Alligator mississippiensis: one gene and its partners. The protein of the gene in region 2 purifies or fractionates together with the protein of the main gene of each other region. This does not show direct contact. Links are inferred from orthologs where the notes say so. Each region holds a gene or a part of one and is shown on either strand. Other genes may lie near its edges.

What was found.
Region 1: the proteins of SLC39A12 (region 2) and NAT14 purify together in Homo sapiens (co-immunoprecipitation; 3 studies listed by BioGRID and IntAct, counting the BioPlex papers as one, with this or other methods). This does not show direct contact. The link is inferred for Alligator mississippiensis from reciprocal best matches to the Homo sapiens genes SLC39A12 and NAT14.
Region 3: the proteins of SLC39A12 (region 2) and ABHD12 purify together in Homo sapiens (co-immunoprecipitation; 3 studies listed by BioGRID and IntAct, counting the BioPlex papers as one, with this or other methods). This does not show direct contact. The link is inferred for Alligator mississippiensis from reciprocal best matches to the Homo sapiens genes SLC39A12 and ABHD12.

The regions. Positions count from the first base shown.
Region 1 is NC_081828.1:84,025,403-84,034,998, forward strand, and holds NAT14 (probable N-acetyltransferase 14), read right to left. Parts: upstream 4,685-9,596; 5' UTR 4,616-4,684; intron 4,609-4,615; exon of another isoform or gene 4,562-4,608; intron 4,422-4,561; 5' UTR 4,403-4,421; coding exon 4,322-4,402; intron 2,984-4,321; coding exon 2,438-2,983; 3' UTR 1,709-2,437; downstream 1-1,708. Other genes in the region: ZNF628 (zinc finger protein 628), read right to left, coding at 6,131-9,238. UniProt on the Homo sapiens protein: Probable acetyltransferase. May act as a transcription factor that regulates the expression of coproporphyrinogen oxidase by binding to a promoter regulatory element.
Region 2 is NC_081828.1:182,240,572-182,250,332, reverse strand, and holds the start of SLC39A12 (zinc transporter ZIP12), read right to left. Parts: upstream 4,012-9,761; 5' UTR 3,938-4,011; coding exon 3,680-3,937; intron 424-3,679; coding exon 142-423; intron 1-141. UniProt on the Homo sapiens protein: Uniporter that promotes Zn(2+) import from the extracellular space to the cytoplasm across the cell membrane. The transport activity is temperature dependent. May play a role in neurulation and neurite extension.
Region 3 is NC_081824.1:234,391,039-234,401,168, forward strand, and holds the start of ABHD12 (lysophosphatidylserine lipase ABHD12), read right to left. Parts: upstream 4,518-10,130; 5' UTR 4,404-4,517; coding exon 4,252-4,403; intron 1-4,251.

The DNA of each region.
Region 1 (9,596 bases), about 98 Mb from region 2:
TCCTCTCCCTCCACCCCAGAGAAACACACATGCACACCTGCAAACAGCCACAAAACCCTAACTTCTGTATTCAAACCTTTCCCCTTCCAAGAAGTAATCTATGCATGCACACCCTGCAAAAAAAACATGTATGTGCATGACCACAGAAACGCATATGGACACCCACTCACATTCAGTTCCACATACTTACATGCATGCAGTGGTATGTACACATGTGCAGCTGCTTCCACACACATTCTGGGGACACATTCACAAAGCATGTTTGTACATACATGCCTAAGGGGACACACGTACATTTCTCACATCACAAATGCATGCACTGCTTCTTAGACATGTATACACACTCCCCTTTCCATATATACTCTTCTCCACGGGTATGCACGGATGCACACATGCAACTCTCTCATATATACATATGCACACCTCTTCACCTGCACATGCCCAGGTTCCTCCTCCTGCAACTCCAGCTGCCAGCCTCACTTCTGTCCCCAAGTGACATGCTGTTGATGGAAAGGGAGCTGGTGCCAAGGGGGCCTGTCCTGTAAGGGGGGCCAGTGCAGGCCCATGACCTCCTCAAGCTGGGGTACTGCTAGGTCTGAAGCAGGCTGAGGCTGGCCTGGCCATGGGTGGAACTAGGATTGTAGGAAACAAGCCACAGAATGAGTCATTTCAGCACAGGCCAGGATGGCCAGAGGCCAGCAGCACAGTGGGTTGTAAAGCTGGCCTGATCCAGACACCATGGATCCTTGCCATACTCAGATAGCTACCCCAAGGAGCCTGCCAGTCCCATAGTGCCCAGGCAATGCTACCTGCACCCCAGGGCAACAGAAGTATGGTTAAAACAATCCAGCAAACCCTCAGTTTCTCAGCTCTGAGTGGGCTGCAAAGTCTGCAGCTGCTTGGAGAGTACTCAGGTGACCATAGCAACCCCATGGTGTGATTGCTAAACATCCCAGCCCAGCAGCAGCTGCCTGGCCTGGAGCACAGGCAGAGGGGGCTCTGAAGCATATCATGAGGTGTTCTCCACCCCTCCCTGCCCTCCCCCCCACCCCCACCCAGTACCCCAGCACTGTAGGCAGGGGACCTGAGCAGGCAGTGCTGGCACCTGTGAACCCCAGGCAGCACTAGTGGGTGCTGTGCAACAAGGAGCCAGGAGCTGAGTGCAGCAGGGCAGCACCCCCCAATACTGTGATGCTCCACTACATCATTAGGGGGAAGTGCTGCAGAAAGTGGGTGTGGGAGCTCGGAGGGTGCTGGGCTACAAGGTGCAGCATGGGGATTCAGCAGGATGCACTCCTCCTGTCAGCCCATGCTGACTCCAGTGAGGCTCTAAGTAGCATTGCTCTGTAGGAAGTGAGGTGGGGATGACTCAGTACAGGTGCAGCTCTCCCTTAACAGCCAGGGCAGGCCCTGATGCCCATTGTGGCATGTGGAGGTGCTGCTGTACTATGGGCAGGAAACAAGCACACCGGCAGCTGATGCTGACCCCAGTGCAGCTCTAGGGAGCAGCTGTGCGGACCCCAACGCTACACAAGATGGGGCAGAAAAGACATTTCCTGTCAAGCACCAGCCACCCTGGCACTCTGTGTGCCAGATCCACCCCTGTCAGGAGTAAAGGGGGCCCCAGCCTCCTCACAGTCATAGATCCCTGTCCAGCTGGAGGCTGACTGAGGGCAGGCCCATCCCAGCATGTAGACAGGTGAAGCAGTCACTACAACACGCTTTATTCACACGTACGTTCAAATACACACACAGGCCTAATGCTAGGGGTGACAGAAATGCTCAGCAGCTCTGAGAACCAAGCCAGATGCCACTGCAGTTACTGGAGCCTATGTGCAGCCTCCTTGTCTCCAAAAGCAACCTTCAGTCACAGCTACGATGGGGATGGGCATTAGACTCTTGGGCACCATTTCCTTGCCCACCCCCTCATTCACATTTCCTAGTCCCAGCCAAGCCTATGCATGGTAGAAGGCTGTTCTGGGATGGGATAGCCCCTAGGGAAGGAGGGGTGCCCCCAGGCCCACATCACAAGAAACAGTCCTTCCCAGTCCATGCTTCACAGGCTTCTTCCATTCTCTCTAGGCATGCCATGAGCCATGACTTTGCTGGCAGGAGGTTACTGTCTCCCAACAAGCATTTCCTAGTGTTTGCTCCATGCCTCAGCATCAGCCCCAGCATATTACACATTGCCTGGGCCCTCATAGCAGGATCCACCTGATGACATCCAACTCCCATGGAAGCACACTCAGAAAGGCCCTTGTATGCACACACATTCAAAGGTGGTGCCCCCTGTCCTCTGAGTGTGGAGGCCTTGGACTGTTCACAGATGCTCCCTGAATCCCCTTGTACAAGTTCTCCGAGGTGCAGTGGAGGATGGAGAAGCCCCAGCTGGCCCCTCTTACCCCACCGTCAGGAGGGCGCCGGGTAGGGGCAGATGCTACAGCTCCTTGCTGAACTCCTGCACAACGGTGTAGCCCAGCCAGCTTCGCCCGCCAGTTGCCTGGTAGCCACAGCTCTCAAAGAGGTTCATGGCAGCCTTGGCGACTACTGAGGTATAGAGCACGACACGCTCATAGCCTTGTTCTCGGGCCTGTGCCTCCAGGAAGGCCAGCAGGTGCCGGCCCACTCCAGATCGCCGGTACCAGCGGCTGACAGCCAGGCGCTTTAGTTCTGCTGCGCGAGGTGGGCCTTGGTCCCAGGGCTCCAGTGCCACGCATCCACACACATCATCGCCATCGTACACCGCCACCCAGAGGCCCCGCTGGCCCCCACAGTAGTAGGTATGCAGGCAGTGGAGGTCAGCGGACCGCCACAGGAGCAGCTTGAGGGCCACAATGGTGAGCAACACAGGCACCAACAGAGCAGCCACAAAAGAGTTGAGCAGGAAGCGGAGGGCGCTGCTCACTACAGCCATGAGCAGCAGCACCAGGGGTCGTGTCAGGACATACAGGATCAGCCGGTTCTCTGTGTCTTTAAAGCCATCCTGTGGAGGGGAGGGCAACATGAGCATGGGCAGGGACCATGGTGTGGCAGGGAGGGGCACACTGTCCAGGCAGCACAGGTGACGGCACCAGCTGGGCTGCGCCAGGCCCAGAGAGCATAGAATGTGGCTCAATCCAAAGCTGTAGGTGAGCCAGAGTCTTCCTGAAGGGTGTACCCCAGGCTGGAGTAAGGGGCACCTAGGTGGAAAGGAAAATGCCCCCAGCAGTAGAGCTTGCTGAGTTCAGAGGCAGTTTGGGAAGGCAAGGGAGGCAGGACCTCAATCCAGTATTTCTGTCACAAGTACAAGACACAAGACACAGGCAGAAGCTTGGCTGCCTTTGATTTTAGGGAGATGGGTAGAAGTCAGAAATCCTGGGTTCTACTGCTAGCTTGGTGACAGGAAGGGGACCCAGGGGATTAGAGTAGGGGACTCCTGGGCCTTGGAGGGCTGGAGCAGATGACTTGTAAGGCAGTGATTTTCAACATTTTTAGCCTAAAGGTGCCACTCATCAGACTTGAGGCGCCCCTCAATAACTTCTGTGAATTGAGAGGCGCCCCATTTAAAAACTAATACATGTATTATAGTACTTACCTCCTTGCTGGCAGACTAAGTAGTGTGGGCAGGGGAGCAGCCAGGCAGGGAGAGCCTGAGCCTGCCCATATCCAATTATCTCCCCACACCTCATCTCCTAACACAGTGTGCCAGCACCCTGGTAGTGAGTCACTGCTGTAAGGGCTCAGTCTCCACAGCTTACCAATACAAGCAAGGCTCCAGGTTGAGGCCCCCACTGGAGGTGCCCGTACCTGACTGAATGCACCCAATCTTGTCTAAACTCAAAAGCTAAACAGTGCTGGGCCTAGTTAGCAGGTGGAGGGGAGACCATGCAGAAATCCTGGGTCCTGGAGGCAACCCTGGCTGGGGCTGAGCAGCTGCCTGTCCAGCTGCTTTGCTTGTTTGGCTCTGGCCCAGACTGAGAGATGAGCCACAGGGCAAAGAGCTTCCACCCTGGGGCGCCTGGCTGGTCCTGCCTTGCTCCCTGCTGCTGCGGTGCAAGGCAGGTGTCTGGCATCCCCACAGGGCCTGGATCCTGCACCCCAGCTTGGCCCCCACCTCTGCCCTGCTGGCTCTCACCCCATCCAGGTCTATGGACTCTTCCATTTGGGGTCACTGTCTCTGCCCATGCCTGGGCCCTGGCACCAGGGACAAGCAGGTGGCGAAGTGGGCTGGTTACTGGGGGAGGGGGAGAGAGTTGGGGGCAGGTACTATGGGCAGAGCCAGGGACAGAGCTTGGCCAGACACAGCAACCGGCTACCAGAGCGCCCCCACCCCCAGGGAGACCTTCAGCAGCTCCAGGACGATGGGTGCCTCCTCCTCCCGCATTCTGCGCACGGCGAGCTGGGCAAGGTCCAGCACGGGCATCGTGGCAGCCAGGCGGGCCCTGCGGGGCAAGGACGGGCAGGTAAGCGCCGGAGCCCGGACGAACCAGGCCGCCCCCGCGCGAAGCACAGGGGAGGGACCCGGCGGCCCGCCCCCCCAATGGTACAGCCGGCAGCTCCGCGGAACGGAGCCTCAACCAACCGCCTCCCCCGCGCCGGATGAATGGATCCGCCCGGGGCCCGCGAGCAGCCTCACCCTCCCTGGCGCTCAGCCGACTCGGCCGCTCCCACTGCGCCTGCGCAGCCCGCCCACCGGCCGCTTCCCTCCCGGCCCCGCCCACACTCCGCTGTTCTAGCACCAGGGAGGGGCACCCGCACTATGGCGCTGAGCGTGTGCTGCGGCCCAGCTGCTCGGAGCCGGGCTAGGGCGCTGCAGTCAGCGAGCGTGGAGGGGGTACGCCGGTAGCCTCACAACCACCAACCCTGCCCTCCACCCGCCTCCCCTGCGGCTGAGCCGGGATCCCTGCCCCGACCCGGCCCTGCCTGGGAGCTTGGCGCCTGCCCGAGGCCGGGTTGGCTGTGCGGGGCGCCACCCCGCCGGCTGCCCGCCGCGCCCCGAACGGGGCAGGTAGAGAGGCTGCTCCCCGAGGGGATCCCTCCTCCTCCCGGTGGGCAGTTCAGCCCAGCCCTTTCCCGGCAGCCCTCTGTTCCAGTCACCCCTGCTCCCCACTTCGGGCCACTACAGCTCGCTCCCGGCAAACTGAGTAAACCAGGCACAGACCCTTCATAAGCAGTCCTTTATTTGCCGCCTGGGCTGAAGCAGCTGTGTCCTTTGGGGAGCAGTGCCAGGTGTCACTATGGAAGAGATAGGATCCAACCCAGCCAGGGGGCTCAGGGCAGCATCTGGGTGGCAGGGAAGTGGTGCCTAATGGCTTGGGAGACCATTGCACTTGCTCCCTTGTGCCACAATGCCATCTCCTGCCTGGGAGAGCAATGGGTTTCCACAGATCAGCAGGCAGAGCTGTGCCCACCCAGGCCCCTCCCCCAAGAGAAAAGCATGTTTGCGTGTACACATGCAGCCTCACAGCACTGGCCCCTCCTGCAGCTAAGAAGAGACTTAGCTAAGGTGGCCTAGCAAGGCAGACAGTCAGGAAAAGAACCCAGGAATCCTGGGCAAACCTACTACCCACTCACTCCTCCCCTGCAGAGCCAAGACACAACCTAGGAGTCCTGGTTCCTGAGGTAGCCTGCTCTGGACCTCTGGACCCCACTCTCCTCCCAGCCCTGGAAGAGGCTCAAACACTAGAAGTGAGCAGAGGCTAGAGAAACACTCTGGCCAGCTCCCATTGCACCTCTGCTCAGGGACAGGCAAACAGCGCCTTGCAACTGGAGTCCAGCTAGACAAGGCTAGGGAAGCACTCAGGCCAGCTCCCACTGCACCTCTGCTCAGGGACAGGCAAACAGCGCCTTGCAACTGGAGCCCAGCTACACAATCCCACGCCCAGCTAGAACTGACTCAGCTCTGATGACATGGATGTCAGGTCCTACCAGCCCTATGCCTTGGAAGGCTACAGCCAAGGTTGGAAAGGCAGTCAGGGGCTGCCTGCGCTCATCAGGCAACCCAGAGCCCTCTGCTGCAGCCAGCTGGACAGTGTCTGTAGTACATGGCATGACAGTAGAGGAGGGGACATTCACCCCAAGTTCAACATGCGCTGGCACAGTACTGGCCAGCAGGGCAAGGCAGGCACCTGCAAGGCCAGGTGCATGGGACTCAGAAGGTATGAACCAGCTGCACACTGGGCACTGTCTGCACTATTTGGATGGACTGCAGCTCCTGGGGAGGTGGCACTGGGCTTGGCAGCAGCTGTACCATCTGGGTGTTGCCAGAGGAGGGCTGGCCACTCCCTGGGCTGTTGGGCACCCCCCGTGCCTGCAGGGGGAGCTGTCCCACATTGGGGCCTGGGAGTCCTGGCAGTGCCTGCAGACCTGACACGTTCTCCAGGACCTGCAGGGTCTGCTCACTGGGAGTGCTGCGGATGATGAAGAGCTTCTGCCCCCCAGGAGCCGTCAGGGCCCCTGATCCGCTCTCTGGGGGCAGCTCTGGTAGGTTCTCCACTTCCTGCACACAGAAGCGGGTCTGCTCCCCATCAGCACCACGCAGTACCAAGACGTTCTGCAGTCCCTCAGCCGTCTGCAGCATCTCCAGGTGCACATCCTGCACCCCTTCTAGGCCACTCACTTCAGTCCCTGGCCCCAGCAAGTCATCACTCTGTGCGCTCTGCACCACAATCAGGTCCTGGCCCTCTGGCAGGTCTGCCATCTCTTGCCCAGCATCTGCAGGGAGCTGGGCACTGGACAGTTCATGGGAGCTGGGAAGAGTTTGAGCCTCCTCTGCCTCCAGGGAGCTCTGCTGCAGGGCCTGGATCTGGATGCTGGTCACGTCCTGAGGCTGCGACAAGGCTGGGATGCCAGTCACCTCAGGGGGCTGTGGCAAGCCCTGGACTTGGACATTAGTTACCTCAGCAGAGGGCTGCTCAGGCATGTTCTGCAGCACAATAACATTCTGCCCGGTCTGGAGCCCTGGCACCCGCTGAGATCCTGGCAAAGTCTGGATCTGCATGCTAGGCAGTGCCTGCCCGCTGGCTGGCACCAGAATGATGTTCTGGCCAGGCTGTGGTGGGTTGGGGTTACTGGGGGCAGCCTGCTTCTTGGCCTTGCCCTGCCGGCGGGGGGGTGGCTTGCTGGGAACTGTGGGGCTGCTGGGCATCAGGGTGATGTTGGGGGTACTCTGAAGAATGGGCACTTTCTGGTGTGGGGACACCATCTGCGGGCTGGGCAGGAGGATCAGCTTCTGGGGGCTCTGCTGGATGCTGGGGATCAGCTGCAAGCCCTGTGCTGTCTGCACCAGCAGGAAGGTCTGGGAGTTAGGGGCACTGGGTGGGCTAGCCACCTCTAGATTGAGGGTGGCCTGCAGGTTGGGCACAATGTGCACCTCCTGGGTGCTGGGTGTGAGTGGAAGGCCCTGGGCTGGCATCTCACTCTTGGCCTCAGGGGTACCTGCCTCGGTAGCGTGCGTGCGGAGGTGGCGCTGCAGGTAAGAGGCCATGACGAAACCCTTGGCACAGACAGGGCACTTGAAGGGGCGCTCACTAGAATGAGTTCGCTGGTGCAGCTGCAGGTTGGAGGAGTGGGTGAAGGTCTTGCCACACTGCTGGCAGGTGTAGGGACGCTCACCTGTGTGAGTACGCTGATGCTGCCGCAAGTTGGAGGTCTGTGTGAAGGCCTTGCCACAGACAAGGCAGGTGAAGGGGCGCTCACCAGTATGCAGCTGGCGGTGGCGCCGCAGGCAGGAAGTGTTCTTGAAGGCCTTGCCGCAGTCGGTACAGCTGTAGGGGCGCTCACCTGTGTGCAGGCGTAGGTGGTACTGGTAATGCGATGACCACTTGAAGGTGAGGCCGCACTCAGCACACTTGAAGGCACGCAAACCAGTGTGCACACGCTGGTGGATAGACAACAGTGAAGAGCGCTTGAAGGCCTTGGGGCACTCCAAGCACTTGTAGGGGCGCTCCCCAGTGTGGTCTCGCAGGTGGTAGCGCAGCCCTGATGAGCCTTTGAAGGCCTTGCCACACTCTGTGCACTTGTAGGGGCGCTCAGCTGCCTCAGCAGGGGCTGGGGCCAGAACAGGGGCCGGAGTTGGGGAAGGCTCAGTTGCTGACTGAGGGCAGGTGACCTCAGCCTCAGCCTGAATGAGCTGCTGCTCAGCAGGGTGTGTGCGCTGGTGTGCCAGAAGGTTGGAGAGCTGCACAAAGGTCTTCTCACAGATGGAGCACTTGTAGGGTCGCTCACCAGTGTGGCTGTGCTGGTGCCGTGACAGCCCTGACCCATTTTTGAAGGCCTTGCCACAGGTGGGGCAGGTGTAGAGTGGTGCAACAGGCAGCTCCTCAGCTGGCAGAGGCGGGGCCGCCTCCAGGTGGCTCTGCTGGTGGCCCAACAGCAGTTCCTCACTTTTGAAGGTCAGTTCACAGTCCCCACACTTCCATAGCATCTCCACAGTTTCTACTGCCTCTGCGGCAGCAGCCAAAAACAGCTCAGTTGGTGCACAGGCCAGCTCGGCCTCACCGTAAGCGGTCGGTGCCTTAGCCGCATGCGTCTGCAGGTGCTTCTGGAGGTAGGTCTCCGAGACAAAAGCCTTGCCACAAGCCTGGCACTTGTGGGCCCGGCTGCTGGCATGGGTGCGTTGGTGCAGTAGGAGATTGGAAGAATGGGTGAAGGTCTTGGTGCAGTCAGCACACTTGTAGGGGCGCTCACCTGTGTGAATGCGCTGGTGCTGCCGCAGGTTGGTGGACTGGGTGAAGGCTTTGCCGCACGCTGTGCAGACATAGGGGCGCTCGCCTGTGTGGATGTTGCGGTGACGCCGCAGGCTGGATGAGTTTTTGAAGGCCTTCTCGCATGTGGTGCACTTATACGGGCGCTCACCTGTATGCTGGCGCACATGGTACTGGTAATGTGAGGACCACTTGAAGGCCATACCGCAAAGGGTGCATTTGAAGGAGCGCAGACCGGTGTGCACGCTCTGGTGGATCTGCAGCAGTGAGGAGCGCTTGAAGGCCTTGCCACAGTCAGTGCACTTGTAGGGGCGCTCCCCAGTGTGGCTGCGCTGGTGGTAGAGCAGTGCTGAGGAACCCTTGAAGGCCTTGGGGCACTCCGAGCACTTGTAGGGGCGCTCCCCAGTGTGCGTACGCTGGTGGTGAATGAGCCGCGATGACCACTTGAAGACCTTGCCACACTCCAGACACTCATACTGGTGCTCACTGGCACCTGGCTGCGGCAGTGGGGCTGGCTGCATCTCTGCCATCTCGAGCCGCTGGGCTCCCACCATCTCACCTGTACCTGCAGCAGAACAGAACACAAGTCAGCGCAGAGCTAACCCCAAGCCAGGCCATACGGCCACTCTAAGCCGGGCCAAGGGGACCCCAGATTTACCCTGGGGGAGCTGAACCCCACTTCAGTCACAGGTGACTCCAGGCTGACCCAGGAGAATAGAGAAAATAATGGTCATTCATCTCATTATGAGCCGTGCTGTTTGCATGGGCTGCTGGGACTCTTGCAGATCTCAGGGGGTGAGCAAAAACATGTGTAGGGATGCCAGTTGGTGACCCTCCCATCTGCCCCAGGTCTCCCCAGCTGAGCTCAGGCGCATCCTGCTGCTCACTGCATAGGCTATGCTAACTTGCTTC
Region 2 (9,761 bases):
GGAATTACCTAAATTGTGCCAATTGGGTGTAGTCTTTTAGAGAACACTTTAGTCAAGTGCATCCTTATGGCAGATCTAGCACACAGCCATTTTATCTTTGTCAAGTATTTTGTTGTTTATAACTACTGGATATTTTGTTACCTGGTTTTCAGAAGTTTTAAAACGTTGCCTCATTGCAGCCAAAATATCTTCAGTTTCATTCCGTGAAAAATAATAGCAGTCTTCATCATGCCTTAAACTGAGCAAGCTGTGCAGGTAAAATTTATAGTCTTTGTTACTCAGACTGATCTTGGAAGAACAGATATCTCTTTGATGAATAATATAGTAGAGAAGAATGAGAGAAATTCTCTGGAACACTTCTTCACTGAGATGGTCCTCTAAATCTCCTCCAGCTATTAATAACAAAGCATCTGGTTCAAGGCACTGTGAATTATTAAAGAAATGGAAATTAGGTTTAAATAACATCATTATTAATCTCCTATACCTAGGATTAGAGAAGAGGGGAGCTCAGATTTATTATTAAAGGCCTAGTCTTTAGTCTGCACCAATGCAGAACTGTGTGGTAAAATTATGATCAGTAGGCAAAAAAGTAAAATTGTGCAATATTAGAAGCAGCTACCCACCTGCCATATTCTGTTCTATAACCCTCTCTACCTGGGAGTAATGGGACCAGTGCCTAAAGCCTTATCCCCATTTAAGGCTGATCCAATGGCCACTGGAGCCAGCTCAAGGATCCCCATGGACTTAAACAAGCTTTCTTGCCCACACTGCAGACAACTGTCACTAGCACCAAACTGTTCTTTAATTTCTGCACAACTTCCACTCATACATTCATTAAGTTTTTAGAATTAAGTCTACAAAGAGCCAAATTTGTCTCTCAGTTACATCAGAGTAAAAGTGAAAGGAATCAGGATTACTCTGTTTTTGTATCACTGTAAGACAGCAAAATTAGGCCTGTATTTTTATGGATTTTTAAAAAATATGTATGAATTTTTCCGATTAGGTAGTTATGTAATATTCACCCCTGTGCAGTGAACCAGGAAAAGACCTACACACTGATTAAGTCCTCAAAACATGTTTTGAGAAAGAGTGAAATAATGCACATGCCTTATACAAGCTCTCTGCATGGCATGGCTTACACTTTCAGGGAAGGTAGAATATGTTGAAACAGCAATATTACAAAATGCCTCTGCAAGACTCCATTTATTCCCATACTTATGCCCCTTTCACTGTCACCTTAGGCAAAGTTCATTGTAAACTGAAAGGCCTGAAAGACCAAGAAACTCTGGCAGACTGAAGAACTATGGATAAGAAAATTCCAGAAAAGAAATTACATTTCTGAAAATTATTAACAGGAGTGATGGAGCCCACAGCTCAGTTTAGCCCAATGCCTGCTAATTAGGGCACTTCATTAAGAAGTTGAAAATGTGCTGGACAAAAGCTGGCTAATTCTTGCTCCCCATTTTCTTTCAACCCTGTCTTGTTAGTTAGACATCTAGTTTAGGTTCAGGTAAATTTGTCCTCTATCAGTGAGCTGGATCCCAACAGCACATCTCCCTTTGGGGAGGCAGAATATAATCTAGAGCTTCTTGTTAACCCAACCCATCCTTTCAAATATACCCAATGTGAAATATAGGCAGAGGCAAACATAGGTCATAGTTACACAGTAACCTGGTAGCAGCATCCTCCAGAATGCTGTGCTGTTTGGGGCTTCTTAACCAGGGAGAAGCATAGCTGCTTCTGCACTGCTATATGGGCAGGTGTAATGGGCCTGAGGTTGCAAGAGTAGCCATGATGCCCCCAGAGCTAGGGATAGACATTCAAAAAGCCAGAGCTTAAATTGATTCAATCTTTGCAGGTTAGTTTAACCTGGCTAGGCTGAACTAGTTTGTAACTGCGCAGACATCCCAGGTATGTAGGGACATGTTTGCAGTGGCTAAGGCTAGAAGCTGGGGGGTGCTAGAGCAGCCCTCCCTTCCCTTCCATAGCACTGAGCTGAGGGGGGCCATGGCCAGACCCCAGCAGGATGCTCTAATTAGCCCAACAGGGAACTGATAACAGTGTTTATCACCCTTAACTCAGTGTTTATTACCCCATTAAGAAAACAACAGAGGGATATTACCAGCTATCTGTTGATTCTACCTGTTGATTCAGCAGGAACCATAGCCAGCATGTGGTGTGCTAGCTAAAACACAGGCACTTCTCTGCAAGGCAGAGGAGAGGGGGGAATTCCTGCTTAGCCGCAAGTGGTCAGGGGAACGGGGGGAGTAGGCCACAGCCTGTGTCAGAGCTGCAGCCAGGGAACAGAGGGGAGGGGCCAGCCCTGTTGTGGGAGCACCCAGCCCAGAGAACATGTCTGGATGCTGGGAGAGTCTAGTTTGTCTTAAAGCAGCAAGGAGTCTGGGACAGACATTGCATAAACCGGTTTGAGCCAAATCAGTTAAATCTGATACTACATTCAACCAGGTTTATCTCAAACTGGTTTCAGCCATTTTCAAACTGGATTATGTGCACTGAACATCTGTTCTGTTACAGGTTTAAACTAGGTTCTGATCACTTAAACCGGTTTATATGTAATGTCTGTCCCTAGCCCAAGTGGCCATACAGTTCCTGCCCACTCAGACTTCCTGAGTACCCTCCCTCTTTTTCTACCTGTCACATCTTCATTGGAAAAATTGGATTATAAAAAGGGAGGCTGCCCCAGGGTCCCAAAGTGAGCCCTCTTTGTTTCTGTTCTCAGTGGGTCAGTCTTTTGTAGCCCTTTTGCTCAGCAGCTCTTCCCCTTTCTACCTGCAAGTCCAGACTGACTGACTGGCTTCAGGCACTGGCTTTATGTGCCTTCCATGCCCTGCCACTTCCTGTCAGGTCATTCTACAACCAGACACAGGATTTCCCATTTTGACCCTGATGAACAACCTGCTTTCTCCTGTTGCAGCTTAGCTCATCTGTTTGCAGCTCTTTATTTCTGGGCTGCCTGTCTGTCTGCCCTAGCACAGCTTGCTGCTGTGCCTCCGTTCCCTAATTAGGATGTGTTGGAGCAGACATCCAACATGTGTATAGGTGCCCCCAGTCCTTAGTTGCCTGGTAAATTGAGACTAAGTTCTCTCTAAAGCTGTGGTCCTAAAATTTTGATACTCATTTTTTTTTCCATTTCCAGAGCCTGGAAAGCTTTGTAGTTTCATTGCTCTTGGTCTCCATTGACTTGTCAGTTTTATAAAGACCTCACCCATTCCTTAGAGGCATGGAGGAAATGGCCTGTGGATATGAACTAGCCTTGCATTGGGCCAAGTGAAAACAATAATGATAAAACTTTACAAAGCCATTCCCATTGTGTTCATTTATCTCTACCTACCATGAACAGCCTTTGATGTTGCAAATTCAAGCTAGTGCTTTCACTGTAGACTGAAGAGTTTAAAAAATATCTGAAAATTATATGGGGAAAATTATTACCGATATGTGAGAAGTAAATGATACTAAGTCTTTAAGTATGCTTGATATTTGGAGTTTCTTTTTACAAGACTAGATCAGCCATATAAATAATTTGCAATTAAAGCATTTCAGAAGTTCATTTCTGTTTAAGACTGAACTTCTTACAGGGCCAAGATTCAAGGTGGCTTCATCCTAATATAATGATTTTAGAACTCATTTAAATGTTTCCTTCATTAATTGAGGCACTAACCAGATTACAGTCCTCCTGTATCCCATTAGTCCGCTGTGGACATTCAATTCTCTCCAGCAATATTTTGATCAGTTCCCGTGAATGGTTCTTGTGGAACTCAGTGCTGTTGTCAGCTGAAAGAATGCGTAAAACTTCCATCAGCACAGAGCTGCCATCCTGCTTATGCTCTTTCTTAGGCTGTGCTTCTGCAGTAATTGTACTGAATATGAAAACTGAATATATCACCCAAAAAGTTGGATGCTTGGTCAGAAAGCACATTTCTTCTTCTTTCTGTAGCGCAAGTCTGTGCTGAGTGCTGTAATGTGGTATGCACTTCACAAGTTAGACTTGAAACCGGAGGAATTTCTATGGCAAAGGAAAAAAAAACCCTTTAATTAGAGTGACTGCAATATGTTTGAAAGGATTTATTAATTGGTTGGCTAAGCTGATTTGCAGTGACAAGCTGTTTCTGAACAACAGGGGGTCTGTAGAAACTTTACAGCCTGAAATAACAGGAAACTAAGATAAGTGTAGCCTTAAAAATTCTGTAGAATTATGGATAAGAAGGTGAATCAGACTACCTTTCCCCCACCACAAAACTTCTAAATAGTCATTTTTCATTTCAGTGTTATGCTACTGTATTTGACAATAATCTTCTTTAGTAAGTATAAGAAAATACCGTTACTTTTACTCCATTACAAAGATTCCCAAGGACTGGTAACATTCATGTACACTAAGTACAGATAAAGCGTGATGAAATAACTCTGATAAAAATGTACAGTAACGATGATATTTAGTAATGATATATAGTGGTCTGCATCTTCAAAACACATTAGAAGCATTAACAAACATGAGTTGTAAACAAAAAGAAAAATCTTATGGTAACCAGAATTTATACTGCTTTATAGTTAGAGGAAAGTTACAAGTCAGACATCATAATGTTGTTCAAACAGCTTGTAAAAAATTAAACTACACAAAAGGCAACTAATTCTCACTTTAAAAATTCTAGATGCAAAGAGAGCATTCCAAATAGTCAAAGTGACTACTATCCTGCCCATATGCTACCTCACTGTCAGATTTCTTTTAACTCTAATTCATCCTGCCAGAGAAGCATAGTAATGGGGAAAGAGTTTTTTAACTTTTGTTTTCCAGCCATGAATTTTCCCTTTGCTGGTGAGCAGTTCTTGGGTACTATACATATATTGGTTAACAATAAACTACATAGGTTAAATAGCCATATACAATATCATCTTCTCTTAACTGTAAAATAATACAGGTCTGATTACTTTTAAAAATAATAAGGTTATTCTAGCAGAATGTTAAGTAGATTGCACTAACAATTTTGCTGAATTACAAACTGGCATTCAATCAAAGAATAGTTGGCTGTGGAGTAGATGTAAAGAAAGGCTTTGACGTTTAAAAAAGAATTTTGGTTTCAACTAAGCAGTTAGAAAGAGGTTAGAAAGCATCACGATTATAGGGGCACAACCATTTTTAACATTATTTTCTTACCTTCTGGAGAAAAAAAAAAGAATGACTGAATATCTCTAGCTTTATGGCCTTTTGAATCCCCAAAAGTATTTAGCTGCTGGAATGCCCGATGTTTTTAAAATTCCTTGATGGTGCTCTGGAAGCTGGAGAGGATTAGTTTATTGCAGCCTTGAAAAGTTTTCAGTTGCTATGGAGAGAACCGCTCTTAAGGTAACAATGGAGGTGGATAGGAATTAGTACATGTTCTTTTTGGCCAGTTTTAGGCATCACATTATTAAATGAATTAGCTAATTATTTTAGTAGTTATCATTTTATAAACGTTCCCTAAATAGCATCAGCAGATGGCAGGATGCATAATGTCTACTGAACAATATATCCCCCTGTGGTGAATAATGCACATAAGCACTCTGCAATAGTTTCACGATCTTATTGAAAGCTGTGCATAATTCTATATCTCATGAAAACATGTCTTTCTGTTTTCACTGAAATGTTTGTTCTGGTTGCATATATGAAATCAAATCAGAAATATTATCTTGAACATCTGTAGAGAACTCTCATTTTTAAAGGGACATTGCTCATGTAGAACAGACCATGAACTTCCAAAAAAACAGAACAAGAGTTTCAACCCTCTCCCCCCTCCAATGTCATGCCTGAATCAAATTTGAACAAATGGGATTGCTGCAGAAAATGGAGAGCAGGAGGGAAAAAGCATTCTTCCTACCCACTCACACTGCTCTACAGATGTTACTGCACCACTGATACTTAGGTCTCACTTTTACCCTCATCTTCTCTCTGTCCCAAAACTGAGTGACTGCACTCCTTAAATAGACTCAATGCCTTGAGTCTCCTCTTTTGCCCACCTCTTTTCTACCTTGGAGAATTCAACTACAGTAGAGTCTCCCATATTTACCTTTGGCATTATTTCCCCCTTGTTTCACCCCTCCCTTCCCTTCTTTAACCTCTATTTCCACCTATTTACATGCTGTGTAAATTTACACTCTGTGCCCTGCTACAGCTACCCCAGGAATGGCATAATGCCATGTGCCTGGGAGCAATACATTCCAGCATGAACTGCACCAGAGTTTACTGCATCAAATTAATTTCACATGTAGACATACCCACTTATATGTAGTACAAACTATGTATGATATTAATCCAAAGCCAAAAAGCATGATTTACCACAGTTCTTTGGGCTGGGCCCTGCCAGAGTCAGCAGCATTTCAAGCTCTGGTGACCCCATAACTGAGCACTGCTTGGTATGTTTGTGTACTCCAGGTACCCACCCCTGACAAAGGATCCATGTGCTAATTATCCCCCCACTCATTACTGTAAAGAGGTGTTCTTGTCATGAATCCTGGGATTGTCCAAAATAAATATGCAAATAAGGTGCAGGGCAGCTTCATGGAAGGTGGGGCCATGCTAAACACAGGCTGAGAAAGGGGGTGAGAGAGGGATTCTGTGTGAATTGTTTGGACCCAGTTTGGTGATGTTTGCCAAACATTTAAGGCTGGCAAAGAAACAGGAATCATTGGAAATGGAAAAAAGGAATAGCTCAGCTATGGGAGCAAAGAGGAAGTAGTTTGTTTTGGTTTGTTTTCTTTTGAGTTGCTCTTGTTTTCACCTTTCTCTGAAGTAGCAAAATGTTAGCTCCAGGTAAGGCTGGTGAGTTTTGACCAAGGTATGCTAGTGTTCTGGCCAGACTTAGAAAACTCTGAGGGTCCTTAGAAGAGGGTCTTGTGATTCCAGTTGGAGTGGTACTGAACACTTAGGGAAATTTTCTCCTAGGTCATATTGGCTTTTTCTTAGGGTCCTCTGAGCATATACTAACCTATTACCTTTCTGTCATTTCAGTAGATAATGTAGAAGGATATTGTTAGGGCTTCTGTTTTGTGATTAGTAGTTGTGAGCAAGGTTTCAAGTGCTGGTTTTGGGGAATTCTTACCTTTGCTAAATATTTGCATGCAGATTCAGAGGACTAGACTCAATGTCCCAGAAAGCCCACTCCAGTCTTATGTTTCTAACTGGAGTGCCCTGAAATTCATATCCAATTTTATCAGTAGATAGTTAAAAATGGTTCTTAGGCCAATCTATTTTGGCTTCAGAAAATAAGTTCGGAACTTCAATTTTTAATGAATGTTAGAGACAGCAGTTATATAAAATGTCACTATAAGAAACATGGCAAATTCATACAGCTACCTTCTTCTTTTTAAGGATTTGGGCATGGTTTTGGTTGGGGAAGAGGAGAATGCTCATTTTTCTTAAGTGAGCTCGTAAGAATTTACTGCAACTTATCTCACTGTTTCTTCCACCTACACAGCTGTTGGGAGAACAAAAGCAGGTCAACCATTCACAAATGCCATGAATAGCGGCACTGTGCAATTTGCTGTTTTTTAAAATATCAATGATTAAGTGATGTGAGAATAGTAAAACTCTTTATGGAACTGTGCTCTTTGATAACAAAAACATTGCTGTGAACCCCACCACCTTGGCAAACAGCTTCATTTTATTTGTAAGGCAAAGTGGGAGACAACGGATGCATCAGCTTAGCAACAGCCCTTTGGTAGCTTGTAGCTTGCTGAGGAACATCGCTAGTGATACTGAACTCTCGTTCCTTAAATACTAAGTTATTTTGATGAACTAAGCCAATGAGCTATGAGCCCTCAGATTAATCATAGCAATTAAAAAAAAATCATAGCAATTAAAGAAAAAAACCTGTGGTACTGCAAATTTCTTACACGTTATCAGGGTGATGTGTGCAGGTCTGATGTAATTAGATCCAAAGAGAGTGTATTGAGATATGAAAAGATTTAATTCCCTACACAATTCAAGTAATATATAACATTAATGCCAATAAATTAATTTCCATAAATAATTTCAGCACTTTAAGACCTCCACAAGATGTTCAGCTTCATTGGCCTGTCTTGTCAGTCTTACCAATATGTTATATTTTAAGAATTATAAATGGTGTTTATACATGTACTCTGTGAGTGGGGGGAGGGGCACTTTAATTACAGTGGCTCCAAGAGCTGCTGTAATTAAACCACCCAGAGCATTGCATGTATCAGCGTCCCTGTGCTGAAAAATAGGGAATGAACTTTAGTTAAAGCACCCCCGCTGCCATTTTTCAGCATGGGGACACTGATACAGGTGACGCTGGAGTCTGCTGGAGCACAGTAATTACCATGTTCCAGTAGACTCGATTGAGTCTGCTCCGACACACTGTAATTACAGCATGTCAGAGCAGCTTTGCTGCATGTGCATGGGTGCCTAATGAGTTAAAATGAATTAATAATTTTGGGGTCTCTGGTGTGCCAGCTGGAGGAGCTCCAGGCCACAGTCCAGAGACTGCGTGCCATCAGGGACTGTGAGCAGGAGATCGACTCCTACTGCCAGGCCCTTCTCCCCTGGGAGATGGAGGGTAGACCACGGTCTCCCTCCAGGACAAGGGAGGACTTGGGGACCTCCCATTCTGTCCAGCCAAGGGCTTGGACTAAGGTGGTCAAGGGCCCCAAGGCCTGCTGCACCAAGGTCTCTGCCCCACTGGAGCTTTGCAAAAGGTACAAACCTCCTGCAGCAGGGCCTGCTGAGTTGCCAGCTCCCACAGGCAAGACAGGGTCTACTGTAGCTACCACCCCTGCTCTCCCCAAGACAAAATGCAGAGTGTTTGTCGCGGGAGACTCCATCCTGAGGGGGACTGAGATGGCAATCTGCCGCCCCAACCCCTTAGCCTGGGAAGTTTGCTGCTTCCCAGGAGCCTGTATTTGAGACATTGCGGAGAAGATCCCTAAGCTCCTCCAGCCCACTGACCACTACCCTATCCTCCTTATTCATGTGGGCACCAATTACATGGTTGAGAGGCTCCCACCTGGGTCATGAAGTGCTACAGGGATTTGGGAGCAGTGCTAAAGGGTCTAGGGGTGCAGGTGGCGTTTTCTTCGATCCTCCCAGTCATAGGCTATGGGCTGAGGAGGGAGAGGAGGATCCAGGTAGTGAACCAAAGACTGAGGCACTGGTGTCATCGGGAAGACTTTGGCTTCCATGACCACAGTCCACTCTTTGGTGAGAGAGGCAGCAAGCTGCTGGGAGGAGATGGCCTCCACCTCTCTCTGCTGGGGAGGAGGCTCTTCTCAGCCAGACTGGCTGACCTGTTCCACTGGGCTTTAAACTAAGCCTACTGGGGGATGGAGGGACTACCAGCACTGCTGGCCCACTGAGCAACCCTTGCAAAGCCAGCAGGCCAAGGCACTTAAGGGAGTCCACTCCTGCCCTAGCCCTGGAACAATTTGTAGGCAAGGCAAGGGCCCCTAAGGGGACACTTGCCTGCCCGTACACGAATGCCAGGAGCTTGGGGAATAAACAGGAGGAACTTGTCCTCCTGCTTAACACAAATAATTATGATGCCATAGGCATAATGGAGACCTGGTAGGACTCCACCCATGACTGGACCATGGGTATAGATGGCTATACCCTGTACAGGAGAATTTGAGTGGACAAAAGGGGTGGGGGTGTAGCTCTCTATGTCAAGGAGAGCTACATATCCCTGCAAGACAATATTGGCAGCCAGGGTGGACGACTAGAGACCCTCTGGGTTAAAATCCATGGGAAACATGGC
Region 3 (10,130 bases), on a different chromosome or scaffold from region 2:
ATCCTGCCACAAGCTTGAGAATCACAGATAGGGAAGCAGAACATTAAAAAGCTTGCTGCTTTGCAACTGAAATGCTTAAGTCTCCTGTAGTATGTTAGTTATGCACTACATATGATTAACAAGTAAGCAAGCATGCATGGTTACCACAACAAGAGCGATATCTGATATTACCTGAATGATCAGAGAAAGAGCTTGAGCTTGTGGGATATGGAGGTTAGATAAACAGAGGGAAATTGCCAAAGCAAATCTTGCAGGGTGCCAGGAGCTGGGGGGAAGTGGGCAGAAGGGGGAGAAAGAAGGGGAAGGGCTGGACTGGGGTGCCCCAGCAAGTATCATTTGATGATATAGTGGAATAGATGGAATGGTGCATGGCACACTTCACAAGGCTGTGCAAACCATGAAATATGCTGGCCCACTGGTTCCATACTGCGTTTACTGCTTGTTATGACAGACTCTGGTGCGCTGAACTCAGAGAAAAAAAAAAAAAAAAGGCAGAAATCAACTTATGCTGTCTACTGTGACTAGATGCTGCAGGAGGAAGTGTACCAAACCAACACTAAAACCCTTCAGATCCAAGGTGTGTTGACTAACTTTGTTAAAACAAGGAATTGCACAAAAGTATAACCCAAGGGCATGGAATGAGGTATCATCACAGTTATTATATAAATGGTTGCTTCATTTGCAACAACAATTAATTGTGATGCCATACAAGTTAAGAGATTAAACTTTAACAAAACCAACCTGATTTTACAATGCATGTTTTCACATACAACTTCTGTTACTTTTAATAAACCTAGCTCAAATGCATTTCCTTACAAGAACATAGTAACTGGACAGCAAAATACCATTAGCCCATTATGATTATTACTACATACAAGCCATATAATTACCCTTCTAATGCTTACTTTAATGCTGTCACCTTCAGCATAACCTACAATTGAATACAGAGATGGCAGGCAACCTCAAAGAAAAGAATAAAATAAGCAAACATCTGGAATTTAGAGCATATACCACTGTGCAAGTTTACCCCGATTAATAATGGCCAAAATGCTCACCATCATTTAGCATTTTCTGCCTGATTTTCAGAGGTGCAAAACTTTCCAAAGGTAAAAAAGGCCTGTAAAATTATGGAACACTTCTCAAAATGTTGCTGCATTTAGTTTTAAAACTTCATCTACACCCACAGAGGAATAAGTACAAATACATACATTTATTTCTTACTTTCCAAAAAGCAGCACTTACAGTACTCTTTTTTTTTTTTTAAGCAAAGAGGTAGAATAGACTTTAACCAAACTACAATCTGAAAGATGCAGACATCCACCTCCATATAAATAGGCAGAAGGCTATATTATAAAGTTAGTTAAAGTAAGTGGTTGTGCACATACATCAGTGTGATTCAGTTGTTGGACAAGTGTGCTGGAAGCACACTAAATAAAACAATGGGATAGAGGAAACAAGCCATGTAAAAATAGTTTTCAATGCTGTCAATATTATCTCCTACAAGTATTGCCTAAATTTACAAGTACTCTGTTATTTTTGTCTGTGCTGCTCCAGGATTTGAATTATGGGGGAGCCCCCTCATAAGAGACAAGAGCCCCCATGTAAGATTTGCAAATCATAAGCTGGGGGGGGGGGAGGGGGAGGGGTCTTCAATTTTATTAGGACATCATGACAGGCAGCCCAAATTTTTGTGCAGACCCCATTCCCAAAGTGCAATTCAAACCCCATGCGGCTCTGAAAAAAAAAAAAAAATGCACATGAACAATTTTCACTGTAAACAAGCAGAATGCAGCAAATCTTGCTTGAAACCACACATGGAAAAACTGCTGGTGTTTTAAAATCACCATCATGCAGCCCTGTGGTAAACATCACTGCCTTTCCAGGCTGCACATTCTGAGACCATGCGACCTGCCACATGACCAACCTTTCACTGCAGAACTGTGCAACAGCTTCCAAGCTATTTTTCTTTTAAATAATGATCTTCATTGTTTACAAAGAACAAAAAACATGAACAAATTCTAGCCCATGTATTATCACCCTGCATTTAGAGGTACAAACTGGTTTATTCTATCTGAACAGGATGTTGGCCCTCAAACCTAACGCTGACATCTTAAGAGTGATTAATTATTTCACACATATAATTAGTTTAAGAGTGATCCTACTAACACACTTTTCCTACAGTTTCAAAGTCACGCATCTTTCCAGAATCAAGAAACCTCATGCAGGCTGCTAAAACTTCCAGTTTTCTCTAACATCTTACCACCTCAACCCCTAAAATGAACCAAAATTCTTAAAGTAAACATGTATACTGTAAGTGTTACAGTTCATAGCATATTTAAGGACAGGGTCAAAATGAATACAGACATTTATGAGGATGGATATACTGGCTGCATTACTTTATAGTCATTAAAAAAAATAAATAAATAACTTCAAGCTGCTACAACTTCTAATCTGCCTCCAAGTACCCCAGATTAGGAAACTTGCAAGAAAAGTTTATTCTTGATAGCAAAAAACGGTCTTCTTGATGGCACGCATGCACACACACACACACAACCTTGGCAGTCAATCCCTAGATACCAAATACTCCTGACACCTGTGCCTTTCATGCTGACTTGTCAATTTTTGGTTCTGTGGACATCATATTTGTTATATTTATGTAAGTATACATGGTAACCACCTGCAAATCCCTAAGAAGCTGCATCTTCCAAAATCCTGTGAAGTGAATGGAAAAGTCTACCTGATCTTTGAACGGGCCATTAGATTTTCTCCATTGTATTTCTTTATCTTATTAAAAGTTGTTACCAAGTCCTCAAAATATGAAAGAAAGATAAATAAAGACAGGGAGGTACCTGTTCTCTGCAGGGAGATAGTCTTCAAATATAATTAAATTATCCTTGCCAGAGTGAAATACCTTGTAGCTGCAGTATGCTCACTAAACACATTTCTAAAAAGACGTCTGAATGCTATATGAAGTCAACAACTTAGTCTTCATTAATCCTTAAGGATCACTTCAGTATACTGTCTTTGGCAGGACTCCTGCTTCTGTATATAGCTAAAAAACCTGGATGAACTAGTTTACTTTTGTCTGAAGTCTTGCACATAATATAATAGCATGGTTTTAAAAAAATATTACTAAATTGGAAGATCTGCGAAAGCACATAAACTGTGTACTCATTCAGAAGGAAAGCACGATCATCTGAATGCCTCCTTCCATTCCCAAAAGCTTTTCTTAATGCACCAGTCTTGACAGCATCCCAAGATGACCTTTAGGTCATAAAAGTATCAGCAATTATTGCATAATAACCAATAAGTAGCATAGTCTTAAGTCTCTCTCTCTCTCATCAGCTGTATTCAAAACCACCATTTTATAAATAACCCTGCCAAATCTGCATCAGTAATGGAAAATTAGTAGACAGATTTAAGTATTTTAAAGGCAACAAATTCAGTTCTTTCCTGCTAACTGGCCAATAAAACAAGAAGCCCCGTCAACAGGCTTCCAAAGACACCATTTGAAAAGATGTCATTCTCATCCACCACTCCAGCATGCCTGCAGCTGCTGAAACTGCCAGAAATATTTTTGTAATTGGGACTTTGGAGGGAGGGGGAAGGAAAGCCAGCCAAAGACAAAACCTGCATCCTTTACACAGTTCTTGCTTCAGAGTCCTGCCTGTCATGGCCAGCCTGGCTTCCCCCACCCCCTCCCCTTCTCCTTCCCTTTTTTATTTTTGTTTTCACCCCACTTCACACACAGGAAGTCACCCTCAAAACGCACCATCCTAACAGCACAGCCTGACATACGCCCCCAGCATTAATAAATAAAATACATCCCTTCCCGGGGCCGGGCGGGCATGCTAAAGAGTCAAGGCAGAGCTGGCAGCGGCACCAAACACAACCCCCCCACCCCACACACACACCCACACACCCCTGAGTGCTGGGATAGGCCGGGGGGAAGCGGGGGTGGGGGAGACCAGTTGCACTTGGAGGCAGGTGGCTTTTGTGCTATGCAAAACACATAAATGAATAAAACATGAACTAAAAAAGATGAGTAAATAAATAAAATGACTAAATAAGCGAATGGATCACTAAAGAGCTGCATGCGCGCAGCAGGGGGCACGGCAGGGAACCCGGCCCCTCCTCCCGCCGTATCGAACCCTGACGCAGCCCCCGCCTCGAATCCCGCTGCGTCATCAACACCCCCCCCCCCCGGCCGCTGGCCCGGCCGCCCCTCCCCCGCCGCCCCGGGGGTCTCACCTGCCGAGCGGCCGCTTCATACCCGCGTCTCGGGCGGGGCCGCCAGGCAGGCGCAGGCTGTGCCTCAGGCTGCAGCCGGCAGCCGGGGGCGGTGGCGGGGCGGCAGCGAGGCGCTCATGCTCCACCGTCACGGACTCGTTCCGTTTTCTCATCCCGCGGACGGCGGCAGCGCCCGGCTCGAGCCGGCAGCTCTGAAGGCAACCGGCGCTCCGCTACATTGCGCCCGCAGCGGCTCGGCCGCTGACAGGCCCTGTGCAGCCTGGCCAATCAGGGGCGGCCGGGAGGCCACGTGATTCCCCCCCCCCCCAGCTGTGCTGCGGCTTCAAGCCAAAGGGAAGGGGAAGGGGAAGGGGGCGTGGTTCCGCTTGCCCGTACCAAAGATGGCGGCTGAGCTCCTCCTTCCGCCACCACCTTGAGTACGGGCAAGCCAAAGAAGTGTGGGTGGTCGTCCCCTCCGCGCTTTTCCTCCCTGGTTGCCATCTTAAGGACGGGCAAGGGAGTACGACCTCCTGAGAGGGAGGCCATCTTGAGTGAGGGTGAAGCAAAATCTAAGTAAGGCATGTTCCCTAAGCTAGTGTTTCTTAACCAGTGGGTCGCCACCCAAAAGTGTGTCGCAAGAATGTATGAAAGGGTTGCAAACAAACTTTAAAAATGGGTTCTCCTTTGAAGGAGAAAAACGTGGCTTTTCCCTTGCAGGCTGACAGAGCTCAAGCCCACAAGGGGCTGTTTGGCGTTCCCTTTGCCCCACAAATCCCGCCCTCCCCTGCCCCACATACTGGGAGTGGGGGGCTGTGGGTCAGGAGTGAGGTGTACTGGCCATTGGTATTTACAAATGGGTCCTTGTACAATAAAGTTTGAGGATCACTGGCGTAAGGCAACTGGGTGGATGGTCCCTGCCAAAGGGAGGTCAATGTTGCCAGGTGTACAATAATTATTGTATATGTACAATCATTTCAACCTTTGTAGGATGTACAATCAATAATATGTTCAAAATGTACAAGGAATAAAGGTTGTAGCCATGTTGGTCTAAAAACAAAAGCAGTCAGTGTGGTAGAGGCCATAGGCAACTGGTAGGGGGTATACGGGGGTGCACGTGCCCTCCCCATTGGGCCAGTGCACCCCCGATGGCTGACACTGATACCATTGACAGGGCCGGTGCACCCCCTGACAGGGCCGCCACCACCACTGTCAGCAGCTTCTGTGGGTGCTTGCCAGCCCCGTCCTGCTGCCAACGCCATCAGTGGCTTCTGCAGGTGCCCCCCCAGATTCAGGAGGCACCAGTCACCCAGGGTAGAGGCAATATCTTTTATTAAACCAACTAGATAATTGTGAGAGAAAAAAGTCTTTATTTGCAATTTTTTAGGCTCACGCACCCTTGCTCAGGCAAAGGAGAATGCAGAGATTGCAAAATTTCCCCCAGGTAGAAATGAAACTTCCTGTTGCACAGGAGAGCTGGAGGGTGGTATAAGTTCATAAAATGAACTTCCTCCACTTTTCTGCCCTTTGTCTTCCTAATTTCCAGTTATTTCCTTTTTCACAGACAGCCTCTTTCGTACCTTAAATTTTCACCACTATTGAGTCCCCCTTACTCACCTTTGACTTTCCTTCCCCCTGCTTTTTTCACCCCTCCCTTCCCTGCTTTACCTTTTGTTTTCCTAATTTCTACCTATTTACATTCTCACTGACATCCTGTCATACTTTCAGGTTCTCTCATTCCTTGGAGTCTCAGAACAGCAGAGATTCCCTATGCCTGAAGAAGGGTGACTGTGCTCGAAAGCTTGCTAAAATGTTTTTCCCAACTACTCAGTTGGTTTAATAAAAGATATCACATCTACTCAAAGAACCTTGCCTGCCCATGTCCTTAGACCAACACGGCTACAACCAAAAACCCAGTAAAATTAACTTATCCACCCAGGAAAACTTATATCACCCTCCAGCTCTCCTGTGCAATATGAAGTTGCATTTCTATCTGGGAAAAATTTTGCATTCTTTGCATTCTCCTTTACTTGAGGAAGGGTGCATGAGCCCAAAAGCTTGCAAATAAATATATATATTTTTTAACTATCTAGTTCAGGGGTAGGCAACCCCCAACACATGTGCCAGAGGGTGGCACCTGAAGACATTTTGCTTGGTGCATGCAAGTGGGGAAGTGGTTGAGGCTGCACTGCCACAACAAGGATCGAGCTCCTGGCAGCTCTCCCACCACCCAACCCTGGCATGCCAACATCTTACAAGTCAAGGTTGTGGGTGTTTTTGGCACTCTGCTCAAAAACCTTGCTGACCCCGGATCTAGTTGGTCTCATAAAAGATACCACCTCTACCACAATGACTGCAAAACGTGTAACAATTTTTAAGGTTGCTAATTGATGCACTATATGCAAAACGTAAGTCACTCTTAGGGTGTCTTAACTGACTTTTGGGTTTGCTGTTAGCACTTTCTTATGAATGCTTGCCTCAAAATAAAGAAATGCTTCAACTTTGATGACCCAGTTCTCACTCACTGGCAACTTACAGTGAGCAATATAAAGAAAATAATAAGAAGACTTATTTGCATATTTATTAGTATAGTTTTTCAGTGTACTATAATTTTTCAGGAAATACAAAAAAATTGAGCTTCCAATACTATCATTTCTTATTTAAGACCTGGGAACACTGGGAGGTCTCCAAGCTGTGCCCGAGCTGCTTCGCTAGGCTCGTGAGCAACACATTACCAAGAGCAGGCCTTCCCACTATCATGCCTCTTCTGAAAAGATGACAGGTCATTATTCCCGAAAGCAGGAATATCCCACCTACAGCAGGATTGCATGGCCATAGGCACTCAGTATCTCAGAGGTGGGGGCTCCCCCGCCCCCCAAAAATCCAAGCAATAAACCACACTCTCTTCACTCACAACCTTTTAAGCGTGCTATCTGGCATCTTCCCTTTTGATACCACAAATGAGCTTTTGGTTCAGGGTAAGCCTGGCCAGTTTCACTCAAAAAATGTAAATGTAAAGAGTGAATTGGCAAATGGGAATTATCTGACACTATATGAAAGAGAAAGAAAATAAAAAATCTCCCTGTAGCCTTCAGTGCAGCCTTTACTGCTCAAAAATTATAACAAAGAGAATATTCCACATGAGCAGAAGTAGTATTTCTTCTAGGCCCCTGCACAGCCATTGAGTTTCACCTTCCACCTTGTGTTGCTACAGGTTGTCTTTCCCATCAAACTTTGCCTTGATAGACTTACAACTTTGCACCTTGGTTGGTTGACATAGCTATCTGAAATATCACTGTATTTCACTGGGCCATGTACAGAGATATTTGTCACTTGATTGTGTTTCCAGCAGTTCCCAGAAGAGTTTCACATTATTACATGAAGATTCTTTTAAGTTAATTGCTTTTGGTATGCTTGGGGGGAAACACATATTTTGAAAGGTTTGCTGGCAAAATAAATTTTGTGATTTACAGTTACGCTGGACACTACATTCAGAACAAAAAGATTGGAGAGTTTAAAGAGACATGCTTTCTAATGCAAATTTGAAATAAATAATATTCTGAAACCAATCTATCTGTTAAATAAATATCTGTGTGCTTATTGCCATTTACTAAACAGAATTGTCTAAAATTAAAGCTTATCTGACCATCATATTTGAGAAGAAACTCCTAAGCAACAAATGCAGGGGTCAGTCCTTACACCCTTTCAGATCTTCGTGCCATTTGGATTTCTAGATTTATGTCATCATTGAGTTCGTCCCTACAAGGTTGCATGTACTGTAGTCCTCTGACAGTATACCAGAAATGACACTGGTACTGCCATGCCCTTAATTTAAGAGAAAAGGCAAGAAGAAATTTGTGCGCAGGAAAGTAAACCGCCACTGGTGACCAAACAGAACTCATGTGATGCAGTCTCTCATCCATCCTTTTCCATCTGGCAGCTTTTTTTCATAGTTGTAACAGAGCATTTTGATGTGGAGATAAATGCAATATAAATTTAGCATTAGACTTATTTCCAGGGATAATCAGAAAGTAGGTGGGTTAAGAAAGAGGAAGCCATTATTTCAACATAAGTCTTCAGTTCAAAAGTACATACGATACAGACAAGACATACAAAGTATTGGACAATACACTGAATTATGCTTTGTCATTTCCTTTAAAACATCTGTTAATATTAACTAATTTTAAAAATAACTCCCTATCAGACTTTAAATCCAAGATATCAGCAGAACATATCCGGAATTATTGTAAGAGTATAAAGGCCACTTGCAAAAATTACTGTTATTTTGCTAAGTGGCATTCCAGACGTTCATAACAGGCATCAGGCTGCTCATGACTTTCTGTTACTCTTAGGGATACAGAGCATGTCCTAAGGCCCATGGATTGAAGACAATATGAGAGGTAGTCAGGTCTGGATCAGGTGTGCTCTAACTCATGGGTGCAGTTTTCCAGTTTTGCAACACCAGTGCTTCATGTGGCACAGGCAGTCTCTGCGTGTGACACATGACAGATTGGGAAGGGGTCAGGCAAGACAGCAGAGCATAGGACAGGGAGCAGAAAGTGCAGCAGGAGATCAGGCAGGGAGCAAAGGAGGAGCTTGGGCAGGGAGCACAGATTAGGGAGCAGAAAGCAAAGCAGCAGATTGGGCAGAGGAAGAGGGTTGGGATGGCACTTGGGGAGGGCATCGGGCTAATTTGTGGCAAGCCTGCACAAAAGGTGGGCACCAACTGCTCTAATTCACTCAGAGTGCTAGGAGGATTGAATGAGGAAGGAACTTGAGGGCTTTAATGTGCATTATCTTATTTTAATGTACTTGAGGGCTTCAATGCGCATTATCTTACTTTAATGTGCATTAAAGCATCGCTTAAAAACCTGTGCTTTTTACTTAATGCAGATTAAAATAGGCTAATGTACATTAAGCATAATTTAAAAACCGTGTTCTTTAGTCCATGCACATTAAGCCAGGCTCATGTGCATTTTCCTAGTACCTCGTGAGGCTCCTACACACATGCACCGAGCCTGCTCCAATGCACTGTAAATCCAGTATGTTGGAGCAGACTCAGTTAATTGAGTCTGCTGGAGCCCAGAAATTGCCAGGCTCCAGCAGCCTTCCGCCTCATGTGTATCAGCATGGCCACCTGTCCCCACAGTGAAAAAATGGCAGTAGGGCGCTTTGAAATAAAACACATTTGATGAGCTTTAGTTCAAAGCACCCCTCTGCCATTTTTTCAGTGCAGGGACACATGGCAATGCTGATACACATGACACATGGGTGCTTTTAGTTAGGGCAGTTTGCTAATTAAAGCTCCTGGTGCCCTGCCATATCTGGAGCAGGTGGAAAAATGCCCCATGTTCCTAGTATCTCACAATGAAGGTAGTAGATTTAATGCGCATTAAAGCGCCTTAATGCACGTGTAGACACACCCTAGCAAGTGTACGGGAGGGGCTCAGGGAGGACAGGAGGATGCAGCCCTAGGGGGTCTATCCTGAGGAGAGAAGGGGAAGGGCAGGGCAGAGAAGGGGGCAGGGCACATGGAAGGAGGGGCTGGAGGAAGCCCAAGTGCAGATGAAGAGGGGAGAGCGAAGAGAGGGTGAGCCCCCAGAGAGCCCGTCGGGGCAGCGGGCAGGCTGTGCAGGGCTCGGAGCAGGCAGAGGAGCTCAAAGGGGCAGCGGCAGCGCGACAGGACTGATACCAGTCCCGCTCAGCACACGGAACAGAAGAGGGGGCGGGGCAGCATGGCGAGACACGCCCACTTTGGGCTCGGGGGCGGAGCCGCTCCTCGGGAAAAGCTGGGGAGCGGGGCGGCCTCCGTTCGAGCGTGGAGAAATTTGCCCCTCGCCAGTGCCTGTAGGGAAGGGGGCGTGGCCTGGGCTCTTCCACGCCTCTCATTGGCGGAACGGACC